Linked DNA regions of Arabidopsis thaliana. The protein of the gene in region 1 interacts with the protein of each later gene in a pairwise test. Each region holds a gene or a part of one and is shown on either strand. Other genes may lie near its edges.

Region 1 (4,145 bases):
TGGACCGTTGATTCGATAGAAATGCCAAACGACATTACAAATCGGATATATCGATTGGATGGAATCCAAAAGTTTATCCAATATAATCGACTAAAGTTAAAAAATGAGTAATCCACCAGTCTAACTAAATACTTTCTTTACCAACAAAAATTTGGGATACAACTGAGTTTATTTAGGTGATAAAAGATTATAAGACTTAACCTTTTAACAAAAAAAATTTTTTAAGACTTCAATCCTTAGATTGTTTTCCAAATATTAATAGTTACAATAGTTAGTTTGTAAAACCTATTTTTAATTTTCCGATACTCTTTGCACGTTGTGTTGAATCCGAGAAATCATGGGGGCTATATAAACAAAACTATACTATGAAATAGCCAAGCAACTTCAGTGATCGGATCTTTGGTTTTTTATTTTAAAAAAAATAAATATTTTATCAGCCGTATCTTCAGGGCCATTCCCCATAAAAACTATAATAGCTTCTATGAAATTTGTAGATTCCTAAAAAAATCTTTATATATCTTTTATATACAATATGTGGCTGTTACGTAGAACAATAAGACTATACAAAAGTTGGGTATTGTTCCTTTTCAATTACAAAAGTCATATTCACTAAAACAAAGCCCTTCAAACTTTTTAAAAAAAATGAATAAATCACGCATTTATACAAAAAGATCCATCCATGCTCCTATAAATTCGAGCATATAATTAACTAAAGAATACTCAACATGTTCATAAGTACACCTGTCTTCACACTCGTTTCACACATTGTAATTGACATAAATTTTAATATCTTTTAAAGCAAAGCATAAGTAAAATTATATAGAGTATTTCTTCAACACATTTCCGGACGATATCACCACGAAAAATATCCTATATCACCTATGTGTCATGACTCATGACCATAAGGAAGGAAAAATGTATTTTTATGATCAAACGGTTTTCACTTTTTTTATTATTCATTCTAGAAAAAAATTATAATCGTTTTCTTTCATTCCTACGATACAATAATTCATAACGATCTTTTAGAATTTTTGTTTTGTTTTCTGTGTGTATGGGTAAATATCTTTCATACGTAGACAGATACATAACAATTAAAGCTGGTGAAGTAATAATTGTGAAGAGACAGAGAAATTGAAAAAAGAGAGTTTGTTTTTCGTCTAAGTAAATACCGATGATGCCCTCACCTTTCTAATTCCCTCCTTTGTCCCTTTCCATTTTCATGTTTATTTCTAACTTCTCTGTCCCTTTCAATCCTTCTCCACCAGATATCCTCTGATTCGATCCCCCACAAATTTTTTCATAAAAATTATTATTATTCTCACTAAAACTCTCAAGAGTAGTTTCGATTTTTCCTCTGAATAAAAAAAAATCAAATAATATATTTGACAAGAGAATTTCCTTCCTAAACATAACATTTTATTTGAATGTTAATTCAATTGATTATTTTTCTTTCTTATATCCTTTTCTTTGGCAAAATTTATTTCTTATATCCAAGCACATTTTTCAATAGGGTTTTGTATGTATGAAATCATATCTACATGCATAAAAGAATAATATAGTGAATAACTGATTTTCTAGAATATTGTAAAACCTTCTTTTTGGGTCCCCATTTATATATATAACTCAATACCTTACTATCTCTCTATATATATATAATCTTCTCTCTCACACAAAACCTAAAATCTCTTTACTACCAGCAAGTTGTTTTCTTGCTAACTTCAAACTTCTCTTTCTCTTGTTCCTCTCTAAGTCTTGATCTTATTTACCGTTAACTTTGTGAACAAAAGTCGAATCAAACACACATGGAGCCGCCACAGCATCAGCATCATCATCATCAAGCCGACCAAGAAAGCGGCAACAACAACAACAACAAGTCCGGCTCTGGTGGTTACACGTGTCGCCAGACCAGCACGAGGTGGACACCGACGACGGAGCAAATCAAAATCCTCAAAGAACTTTACTACAACAATGCAATCCGGTCACCAACAGCCGATCAGATCCAGAAGATCACTGCAAGGCTGAGACAGTTCGGAAAGATTGAGGGCAAGAACGTCTTTTACTGGTTCCAGAACCATAAGGCTCGTGAGCGTCAGAAGAAGAGATTCAACGGAACAAACATGACCACACCATCTTCATCACCCAACTCGGTTATGATGGCGGCTAACGATCATTATCATCCTCTACTTCACCATCATCACGGTGTTCCCATGCAGAGACCTGCTAATTCCGTCAACGTTAAACTTAACCAAGACCATCATCTCTATCATCATAACAAGCCATATCCCAGCTTCAATAACGGTGACTAATCTCTCTTATACATGCTTTTTTATGAATTTATTCAGGTGGTTTTTTATAATTACTAAGAGAACCATTTACACCACTAGCTATTACATGAATTAGCACACACAAAAAAAAAAAAACTAACAAGATCTACATATATGACTTTGATAGATATATGTATATGTTAATTGTTAAAAAGATTTTAAAAAATGCTGTTGATTTATGAATTTATTCAGATGGTTTTGATTTAAAAATCTAAAATATATATTATAGGAACATGTTACACACCATCTATTATTACATGAATTAGTAAAAATAATTAAACCCAAGAAGATGTTATGTACATGTAATGACGTATATTTGAAGTTATGGATCTTGATTGGGGCAAACCAAATTTGCATCTAAAGAACGGTTTCTTTGTTGTGTAATGGAAACTAGACTCACGTGCATTTTATTTTCATTTGTGACTTGTAACACAATTAGGGATTTGGGTTAGTAGAAAAAAAATCACTAATTTTATGTCTCTTTCTTCATTCTTTTCCCCTGTATATAGTATGGTCTGGATTCTGGAATCACAACATATATGATCACTGATGATACGTATATTAATATGTTTGAAGGGAATTTAAATCATGCAAGCTCAGGTACTGAATGTGGTGTTGTTAATGCTTCTAATGGCTACATGAGTAGCCATGTCTATGGATCTATGGTACGTACCAAACTATAATTCATTAATTCAAATAATATTTATACTACATATATGAATAGAAATTTAATGAAACTGAAATTTTTGGGTGAAGGAACAAGACTGTTCTATGAATTACAACAACGTAGGTGGAGGATGGGCAAACATGGATCATCATTACTCATCTGCACCTTACAACTTCTTCGATAGAGCAAAGCCTCTGTTTGGTCTAGAAGGTCATCAAGAAGAAGAAGAATGTGGTGGCGATGCTTATCTGGAACATCGACGTACGCTTCCTCTCTTCCCTATGCACGGTGAAGATCACATCAACGGTGGTAGTGGTGCCATCTGGAAGTATGGCCAATCGGAAGTTCGCCCTTGCGCTTCTCTTGAGCTACGTCTGAACTAGCTCTTACGCCGGTGTCGCTCGGGATTAAAGCTCTTTCCTCTCTCTCTCTCTTTCGTACTCGTATGTTCACAACTATGCTTCGCTAGTGATTAATGATGCAGTTGTTATATTAGTAGTTAACTAGTTATCTCTCGTTATGTGTAATTTGTAATTACTAGCTAAGTATCGTCTAGGTTTTAATTGTAATTGACAACCGTTTTATCTCTATGATGAATAAGTTAAAATTTTAATTACTACTATGAAGAAATGACTATTTCAGTAAATTTTTAAAAAGGAATTCCTCACAGATCCGGAGGCATGAAAGAAATGCTAGAGATGTACTATATTTGATTACAATGTTATGATCTTAATTATCGATTACAACGTGATCTTGAACCGAAATCAACAATAGTTGTTTTACAACAGAACTTGTGAACAGTTGAATGTTTTTTGGTAGTTCAAAACTAAAACAAGCAAGTTGCTTTTCAGTGGAAGTTTTCTTCTTCTTCATGTTATGCAATCAGCTTGATCTATCGATAATCATGGAATTTTGATTACATCAATACGAACGGTCAAAATCAATCTCAATTATTTCTATGCGGTTTTTTCCTACCTAAATTTTGATTACATGCATTTATCAATCCGAACTCACACAATTTTCAAATAATAAATCTGAGTTATGTAACCGTTAGCCAATTTCAACATATATTCATTATAAATTAATATTAATCGTTAGCCAATTAAATAAAAGGAATGATTTAGATACAAAATAAGTGATAATTTTAACTTAAC
Region 2 (5,204 bases), on another chromosome or scaffold:
ATCTAAAATATACAACAAACTGTGTGCCCTGAAAGGTCTTACAATTTTACACTAAGTGAAGTGGACAGCATGCTTTTCACTAGGTTTCACTCTTACGTCCCCGTGTCGGAGTAACTTACTCAAATTGATGGGAACCTTTGTTCTCTATTTGACCACTATAAATTTTCAATAGTTTTTGATATTTCTCCTATTTATTCGTCACTTAAGTCCGACCCCTCAGAACTTATCATGATTAGTTTCTTGTTTGTATGTGACGACGAGAAGAACAAATAAGATTCATTGCTACAAAACTCAAGTACTAGTGATGATAGTTAATCGCGGATTGCTGAAAAACAAATAAGATTCGATTAATACGATTTATTTAATGATTCGGTTAAAAAAGAATAAGATTTTATCTCCTAACCTAGTAATGTTTTTGAGCTTCTAACTTTGTCTTATGCATCGTCGGTTGGTAGTGCCTCCAATCAAGTAAATTAAATTATATTCTTTAATCTTATTTTCTCTATCGATTTTCCATAAAAATTCCTTTCCGTTTGTCTTATATCGTTCCTCGTGCTGCCGGAACTAAAACTGGAAAAAGGTTCGACTTTTACGGAAACCTATTTTTGGATTCAGATTTTCTTAGTTTAATCAAATATGTGAAAAATATAAAAAAAAACAAATGAATCTAAGGATCGTCCCCAACATTATCTGTCGATGTATGGGCTTAGGGGACATGAATTATCAAAGGGCGTTTTGGGAATCAAATCTTGGACTGTCTATCGGTGTCACTAGGGCCAAAATTAAATTAATGTCGTATAGTATTTTGATGGAAATGAAGTTAATGCTTCGTGGAATAAAAAACCTTTAATGTTAACTTGTTTTGAAAATTACTAATAAACATAATCGAAACTATATACAATATATATTTTAAGGTGATATCTCACTGTCAATGTGATATTATTCTTTTCCCATTTCTTATTTTCCTTAAATTTTATCTTATCACGTAAACAAAATCACTTTCTCCACAAACAATATATAGAAGGAAAAAGAAAAGCTTTTTCAGGTATTAATTAGACGCAATATCATATTCAATTTATTCTTAGGCACCCAGCCACCAAGTTCGTAATGTTCGGTATAATTCCAAACTCCGATTTCAAGGAGGACAAAGAATTAAACCAATAAACAAGACAAACAACAAGTGACGACGAGACTTCAGTTTTGGTTTTAATGTATCTTCATCTCTTAAATTTCATGCAGGTGTATTTTTTATATATAGTAGCATTTTATCAACAACTAAACAAGTAGCTATGGTTGTTCCTTTTTTGTTTTCTAAGAAAATATCAGCCTTTGATTCTTATTTTAAATTTTCTACAATGATATTATCAGGAAAAAAAAACATATACACACACGCATCTTTCAGTTTCAACACAAGTGTCATTTTCACATGTAAATCTGAACACAAATAATCGAATAATTCCATACATTATTGTTTTATTATACCATCATTAAATACTGATATGTGATAGATGATATCTACATTGTAACAAAATATGCCATATAAATTGGTATTTTCCTTTACATATGAAGAAAAGGGAAAGGAAAAATTAAATGGAAATTCATGTTTCACCCAACCCCTTTATTAGACTCTTAAAGTGTCATTTTCTCAAAGGGAACAGAGAAGAAAGAGACTTCTCATTTCCCTCATACCTTTTGCCATCCCTATTTTTCTCTCTCTAATTCTTTACAACTGCTTTTCTCTTCTCACCAAGAACAAAAATTCATTAAGTTAAGAAGAAGAAAAAAAAAACTTTTTGAAATAAATAACATTATACCCCTCCTTTTTCCCATAAAATTCATCAAGATTATCTCAAAATCATTCACCAATTCTCTCTTCTTATGGAGCTTTTCCCTTCACAACCTGACTTGTACTTGAAGATCAGCCGAAGAAGAGAAGAAGAACAAGAAAAAGAAAGTCAAGAACTACAAGAACAAGAAGTCGAAAGGAGATTAGGGTTTCAGAGTAAAGCCTCAGATTTAGACAACAAGTCTTCAAATAATCTCATCCACACTCTCCAGTTCACTTCAAACAATGAAGCCACCAAGATTAATAGTAATCAAGAACACAAGGAATCTCTCGATCAAGACTTGAGATCTATTTTTATGATGAGACCAATAAGAGGAATCCCTCTTTACCAGAATCAAGTCCTTGACCACTACTACTACTCATCTACCTCTCCCAATCCTTTCTTCTTCAGTGAAGTCAACGGTCAACATGCTAGTCGTCGCTTAATCACAAACCCTAATTGTAGTTTTAATCTCCACAACCGTCATCGGCGTCAAGCTCAACCGCAGCCGCCAAGATTCACCGCCAAAAGAGGAGTAAGGGCTCCAAGGATGCGGTGGACGACGACCCTCCACGCCCATTTTGTACACGCTGTTCAATTATTGGGTGGTCATGAAAGTATTGTCCTTTTTCACTATTACCCCTTTTTATTTAATTGAATTTATATCTCTTTTTCATTTTTAACAAAAAGAATAATGAATAGGCTTGATCAAAAATTCTATTTTTATTGACTTAGTAATTATGATTAATATCCAGGAGCAACCCCAAAATCAGTACTTGAGCTGATGGATGTGCAAGATCTCACATTGGCTCATGTTAAATCCCATCTACAGGTAATCTTCTTAAGTTACAGGTACATAATGTATAGGTAAATAAATGAATTTATTGTATTATGGATTTGAATATGCAAATGAACCAAACCCACTGCACTTTTTTATGAAATGGCTAAAAGAAAAATTGTGATTAATTTGGACATGGTTAAACTTTTGGTCGCCCCCATATATATATATATATATATATATATATATATATATATATATATATATAAAGAAATTATATACAAAGTGAAGAAAGAAAAAAGATAAAAAGAGAAGGAATCAAAAGCAAGATATAGACAAAGAGTAAGAGAAAGAGTCCTTTTATTACTAGAGATGCAGTAGAAAAGTAAAAGTACAAAGGAGACATCATTCTTCAATGATGATATTTAGATTGATATGCACACATATATGTATATGCATGATTCTTCAATGATAACAAATATATAAGTTGCTGTTTTGCATAATTTGACTATAGTCAGAATAAGGCACGTAGACCCATGCACATCTCCCATCTCTGTGTATGGCTGCACATTTTCATGAATCGTAAATGCTTTCTGTTTTACTTTGATCTCTTTTTTTCTTACTTTATCCATCTCTGTCTCTGTGTGCGTGCATATCTAGGTTATAGCCTTATATACACACACGTGAATGCCTGAATGGAACAAGTCTAAACACACGAACATCACACACACATTATATATAATTCATGTGTATGTATTGATCGATATAACTATTAATTATTCTTATAACTAGCACTTATATATAATATTAGTAATCTAATCTATAATGTTTCAGATGTATCGAACCATCAAGTCTACTGAAAAACCTACAACGTCATCAGGTTATTTGATTGATTATGTATTTGATTTAATTAAATTATCTGTTAAATACTATACATCTGATAAACGTGTGTGTATAGGGCAGTCAGATTGTGAGAATGGATCACAAGTAAACAGTGAGAGAGAAGCAAGAAATCTCACGGGTCTATGGAATAACTCCTCAAGGTATGTTATGTTTTAATATTTGCCTAAGTAGAATTTAGTATTTGTTGGACAGATATGTATATACTTATTAGGCAACTTTCTATATTTGCATCATATGAGAAACTTAATATATATAATATTATGTTAGTTGAGCCAAAATCATTAGCATTATATTATTCTTTTTTGTTCCTTCAAAAAATCAATGTGATATAATTTGAATCTGTATAAACAGTGAAGCTCGGTTCCAGTTGAAGGCAAAGGCATCATCAGGTGTAGACATTTCATCCAATGAGGTAACAGATTTCAAAAATTTAACCAAAAGGGCATTGGAATAAAACGGGACTTGCAAAATTCGAGGCTGAAAAAAAAGAAAAAAAAAGTTTTTATAAAGGATTATAAGTTACTTTTTTTCTCTTCCATTTGGGTAAAAAAGTGTTTTTCTTCTTTTGATTTTGTCTCAAAAGCAGAGAAATTAAAGACTTTGTTTTGGAGAGTTGATATCTATGATACTTTATTTTCAGAACCCAATTCACTAGATTTGATTGTCTTTAAATCTTCAAAATAGTTTAATTGGAAATTTTGAAATAGAAAGCAAACTGAAAATAAAGACACAGTCTATATATGAAATGTTATATGAGATGATTCTTATAATATATAATCTTTTATTCTAAAATGATGTCAGAATGAATGGAAGAATCGAAGATGTCCAAGCAACGAACGGTTGTCGTCAGATTCGTCAAGCCTTACAGGGACAAGACCAGAGACTGAAACTCCCAATCTTGATTTCACTTTAGCTACACCAAACCTCTCTCCCTAATTTTCTTATATATACTAAAAATACATATTATCTGTTAAAAATTATATAAATCTCAAACTTAAAAGTTTATGCTTTTGAAAAAATATATATGAAATGACGTTTATTTCTTCCTTTATTCATTTTTCCTTTTGTACTGTAAAATTGAGATGCTTTTTTTTTTGGGTCATAAATTTGAGATGCTTGTTCTTGTCTTGAATGGGAATAAAATTATTTGGTCATCATTACAGCGATGCAAAGCTATGACTCATCCACGTGTCTAAATCGGACTGCTTTACTTCTTAACACATGGTTCTCTGACACGTGTCTGACACTTGTGACGTTGACCCGACGAAGACTTTCACTAATTTTTTCTTCTAATTATTCATTTTGAGTAAAGCCAAAAAAGAGAATAAAACGAAATACATTACAATCTATCCATAATTCCAAATGTTAAGAAAACTAACCAACCATACGAAGATTCTTTTTATTGGTAACCTTAACAAGAGCTTTAGACACATGAAGCATACGATGATGATAATGAAAATACGTAGTAATTACATAATCTTACTTAAATATAGTATATTTTACTAAAATTTTAGATTGGTCAAATCAAAAATACTTTAGATGAATATAGCAAAAAAGTATATTTGAACAGTAAAAATATCGGAGGCTATTTCTAGCTACAACGCAAATATCATAATCTTATGGTGGCAAATGAAGAAAAATACTTACCGGCGAAAAGGCCTTATCACAAGTTGAGCCGTTTTAATAATCAATTTGGA
Region 3 (4,202 bases), on another chromosome or scaffold:
AGTGTTATTGCGAATAAATAAAAAGTTGATAGTCAATGTACCCAAGTCAAAAAAACACATCCATCAAAAGAACTTCATAAAATACTATTAAACGAAAGAGAATGTGATTAAGGAGATTTAGGGACGAAATAAGACAAAAACCAAAAGACAAAAAAGAAGAATAAAAAGATGGAGAGTGAGATAGAGAAGCATGTGGTGAGCATTTTAGGGTGTACGAGTCAGGTGAAGTTATATTCTCAAGGTGCACGCCTTCAACATTCTTAACTCTTACTAAACTCCATCCAAACTATGTTTTGTATTTGAGCCAGACAAAAAAACACTTATGTGAAAATAAAATTATAAGACAATAATAAGTTCTTCCACTAAAATCGTTTTTTTATATGGATAAGTAACACAAATTAAATAACCTTGCATTATAGATATACGAAATTTATACATATTTTACAGAGACAGACAGAGTTTATTGAGTACCAAAAAAAGAGGATGAATATTAATTTTATATTTTAGTACTCCAAAAGAGTTCTTCAAGTAAAGCTAAACTTTTTTAAGTAGAGAGAGATGGAGGCACTTTCTAAACACTTTTGTTGATAATCATCGCTTCATAATTGCAATTATCTTACGCTATCTTTACTCTAATAAAGTAATAAAAGGTTGAAAATATTGCAGAGACTGTAATTAACCTCTTGCGGCTCTGTTTTTCACAATATTTCAACCCTCGAATTCCACAGATTCTATATAAAATACAAACTTTATATAAAAAGAAATGCAAAACAAAGACTGGAAAGTGTAAACAACACTGCCCGACACCACCCTTGTCACAGAAGTTGCCTTTCTTGAGAACTGCTAAAACAATCAAGACGCCATGATTCTGTTGATGATGATGAAACTCAAAAGTTTATAATCTGTCAACACTCTGGATGATGGATTTGATTAGGATTTTGCAATGGAAGAAAAGATGGGTGGAATAATGGAAACGATGTAGGAGCAGAAGAGAAAGAGAGATTGGTTTGGTCAAGCTTGGGTCTCAAGTTTTCTAAAGCTTTTACTTGTGCTCTAAGGAACTTGAGATAATTAGCAGCTTCATCAAGCATTGATGCAGTATCCATCTTCGTCCCACCTGGAACCAATGTTTGTAAAACCCTAATCTTCTCACTTATCCTCTCCCTTCTCTGTCTCGCTGCAACCGTTTGAGGATCCGTCGATATCTTGACGTTCTTCCTCTTAGGCTTCTCCACAATCTCTAACCCGAAATTCACCGGTCTAAATGCAGCCGCTCTGTATATCATCTCCTTCATTTGTGCAATCGCCTCAGCATCGGGCTCGACATTGTCAGACAAACAAGTTGAATGTTGGAAACTAATGTTCGAAGAACCGCCTCGTTCTTTCTCTGTTCTTGGTTTCTTTGATTTCGATTGATTCTCATCGTATATAAGCTTGAAACCTCCTTTCTCCGAATCATCTTGAGGATGAACAAGACTAAAGTGACTTCCTGTCTCGTCTCCTCTGTTTCTCTTCAAAGACTTAGGTTTTGTTGTTGTTGTTGTAGTCTCAGTAGTTCCTCCATCTCCTCCTCTGTTTCTCTTCAAAGGCTTAGGCTTTATCGTTGTTGTCGTCTCAGTAGTGATCTCTCTGTTCTCAGACTCTGCAGATGAGACTCCACCAAAGCTCCAAAGAGTCTGACAATCTGAGAAAAGCACAGATATTCCTTCATCGTCCTCCGTCGAGGTGTTGTTGCTATTCGACGTCGCAGATAACAAACAATCGAGTGATGATGGATCTATCGAGCTAGCTCTGTTGCCAACATGTTGCTGCTGTTGAATCTCACCTAAGACTCCAAGATCAGACATGAAACAGCTGCTAAGATTCGGATTAATGAGTTGGTGGTGATAAGAAGAAGAAGAACAGAGTTCTCGAGCCATTAGCTCATTTCCTCCCCAAATCAAATCTGATCCTTGATGCTCCATGATTTTGCTCTCTCGTGTCATTCCATACATAGCTTGAGCGTACACAGATTCCAATCCTTCCATCGGATCAAACACAATCCTAAAAACACCCAAAACAAAGACAAATGTGAGAGGCATACTTAGAAACAGAGCATATTTGTAAACAGACATGAAACCTAAATATTTCTTGTTACATGCAGGGAAAAATGATAAAAGCTGATCTTTAAACCAACCTCGTTGTAATAACGGCAGGACATGAAAAAGTGAAACCGGAAGAAGAGAACAAACAGATGAGTTCACAGGAAACTCTGAGAAACGTTTCTTCTGTCTTAAAGAGATGACACCCAAAAAGGGAAAGAAAGAGAAAACAGAGGAAAGAAACAGAAAGAAGAAATGCTCAAAAAGGAAAGAAAGTAAAACAGTCTGTAAATGAGGTTTATTTCTGTGCTGTAGACTTAGAAAGCTCTGTTTCTGTTCTGTTCTATAATGAGCTCTCTGCTAGAGTTATAGATAGTTTCTGTAAGAAAAGACTTGAAAGCCCTATACACCCCTCCTACTATTCATACTCAGATTTGTTATTATGCACATATTTATATATAGAATAAATATTAAATATATTTGTATATTTATTATATATATATAATAGTATTATTTTTAAAAAGGTCCCAACTTTCGATGAGATCAATTGTTCCTCTGTATCAAGCACTAGTTCTGTACTTCTGTAAATTGGTATGGATGGTTAACTTTAAGAATTAGGATTAGTGTAACTTTAAGAATTAAATCCCTATTTTGATATACTTTAAAACATATATATGAGCGCCGTCAAAGGAAAAAAACTTTTAACTAGTATACCGGTAAACTAATTAACTACTCAAACGATTAATTTTTATATTTTACTTTTGAGTTAGGTAATTTTTTTACCAAATTTTATGATGATCAAATCATTAATGGATGCGATTTAGATGATTTAACTATTATTTCCAGTGACATGCATATGCAAACTCGAATATGGAACGTTATCGACACGTTAAATTGAAGACGCCGGCGGCGACAACTTTACTTTCGTAGAAGATGAAACTATTGAAGTTGATCTCGATTAATTTTGCGATATATCTGATATCTCTAAGTGAGATTTTGTTGGATAATAGATACACGACTATCAAAATTGAATTTAAAAGTTGTCACCGAAACTAAACGTTAGAGTTTACAACACTCCCGAATCTAAACTTAAAACATCTCCTAAACCGGATTATTTAATAATTTCTTAATCCAAAATTATTTAATTTTTCATGGTCAAAAATAATGTCACACGCGCAAAGAGAAAAGTGAGATCACTGATTCATTAACCTAAAGCTAACCGAATGATTTGTATTAAAATATAGAAAATAATCTAGACGATTGAATTATATATTTATTTAAATGAGGTTGGTGTGCATAATAGTTTCTGCAATCGAAGAGCATCTTTTTTTGAAACCCTAGAAAATAGATATAATACTTGATAAAAATCATAGACTATATGATTATGCACTTGATGAATACTGAAAAGGGATATGTAATTAAAAATCTACGAGTGCTTGAGCAGAGAAAAAGGACTGACAATCCTTTTAGCGTCGTGCGAACTGAAAACTTTAAGGGAGAGATCGAAAGAAAGTTTTAGGTTTTGGATCTTTTATTTTTTGGTGAATAACAGATTAATGTTGATTGTATATTTTATTTTAAAAATGATCAAGCTGTAAAAGTAATTCATGATTCTATTATCTATACCATTTTCTTATTCTTTTCTATGTGTTTGTTTAATTTACCTTTTCGCTATCATCATCAGTCAATAATGATCAATATCCTCATCTCGATCTATCTAGCAACACTTTCTTGTATAGTTTATCTTCATTTCTTTTGGCTAGAACGTGTTATATAAAAATACCAAACACTCTTTTTGTGGATTTATTTGATTATATATAATCATGATATCATATATAATCGATGTGGAACACTTTTTGGAGTAGTTTTCGAAAACTTTGTAATTTCCATATACCAGTAGAGAAGTACATTATTAGTCGCTTCTTATTTCCCAAGTCGTTCCTCCTTAGGCTTGAAATAACCAACATTCGAGAACCTAAACCAATAACGCCAATATAGTTTTATTGTATATTTGTATGAACTTATATCTTTACTATGTAAGAACAATTTGTAGTAGTATTTATAATTTGAGATACTAATTGTAAATTTTGAACATTCTTTTACAATATTGATAACTTTCTA

Evidence for each region.
Region 2: the proteins of WUS (region 1) and KAN3 interact in a two-hybrid assay, tested with the Arabidopsis thaliana proteins (one large-scale study listed by BioGRID).
Region 3: the proteins of WUS (region 1) and AT3G21330 interact in a two-hybrid assay, tested with the Arabidopsis thaliana proteins (one large-scale study listed by BioGRID).

The regions. Positions count from the first base shown.
Region 1 is NC_003071.7:7,808,329-7,812,473, reverse strand, and holds WUS (Homeodomain-like superfamily protein), read left to right. Parts: upstream 1-1,662; 5' UTR 1,663-1,802; coding exon 1,803-2,298; intron 2,299-2,900; coding exon 2,901-2,989; intron 2,990-3,080; coding exon 3,081-3,374; 3' UTR 3,375-3,603; downstream 3,604-4,145. Other genes in the region: AT2G17960 (uncharacterized protein), read left to right, coding at 20-94. UniProt on the Arabidopsis thaliana protein: Transcription factor that plays a central role during early embryogenesis, oogenesis and flowering, probably by regulating expression of specific genes. Required to specify stem cell identity in meristems, such as shoot apical meristem (SAM).
Region 2 is NC_003075.7:9,847,373-9,852,576, reverse strand, and holds KAN3 (Homeodomain-like superfamily protein), read left to right. Parts: upstream 1-1,649; 5' UTR 1,650-1,878; coding exon 1,879-2,443; intron 2,444-2,581; coding exon 2,582-2,658; intron 2,659-3,438; coding exon 3,439-3,484; intron 3,485-3,562; coding exon 3,563-3,647; intron 3,648-3,858; coding exon 3,859-3,919; intron 3,920-4,308; coding exon 4,309-4,443; 3' UTR 4,444-4,644; downstream 4,645-5,204. UniProt on the Arabidopsis thaliana protein: Probable transcription factor that regulates lateral organ polarity. Plays a role in lateral root formation and development.
Region 3 is NC_003074.8:7,505,545-7,509,746, reverse strand, and holds AT3G21330 (basic helix-loop-helix (bHLH) DNA-binding superfamily protein), read right to left. Parts: upstream 2,508-4,202; 5' UTR 2,177-2,507; intron 2,044-2,176; 5' UTR 2,028-2,043; coding exon 906-2,027; 3' UTR 561-905; downstream 1-560.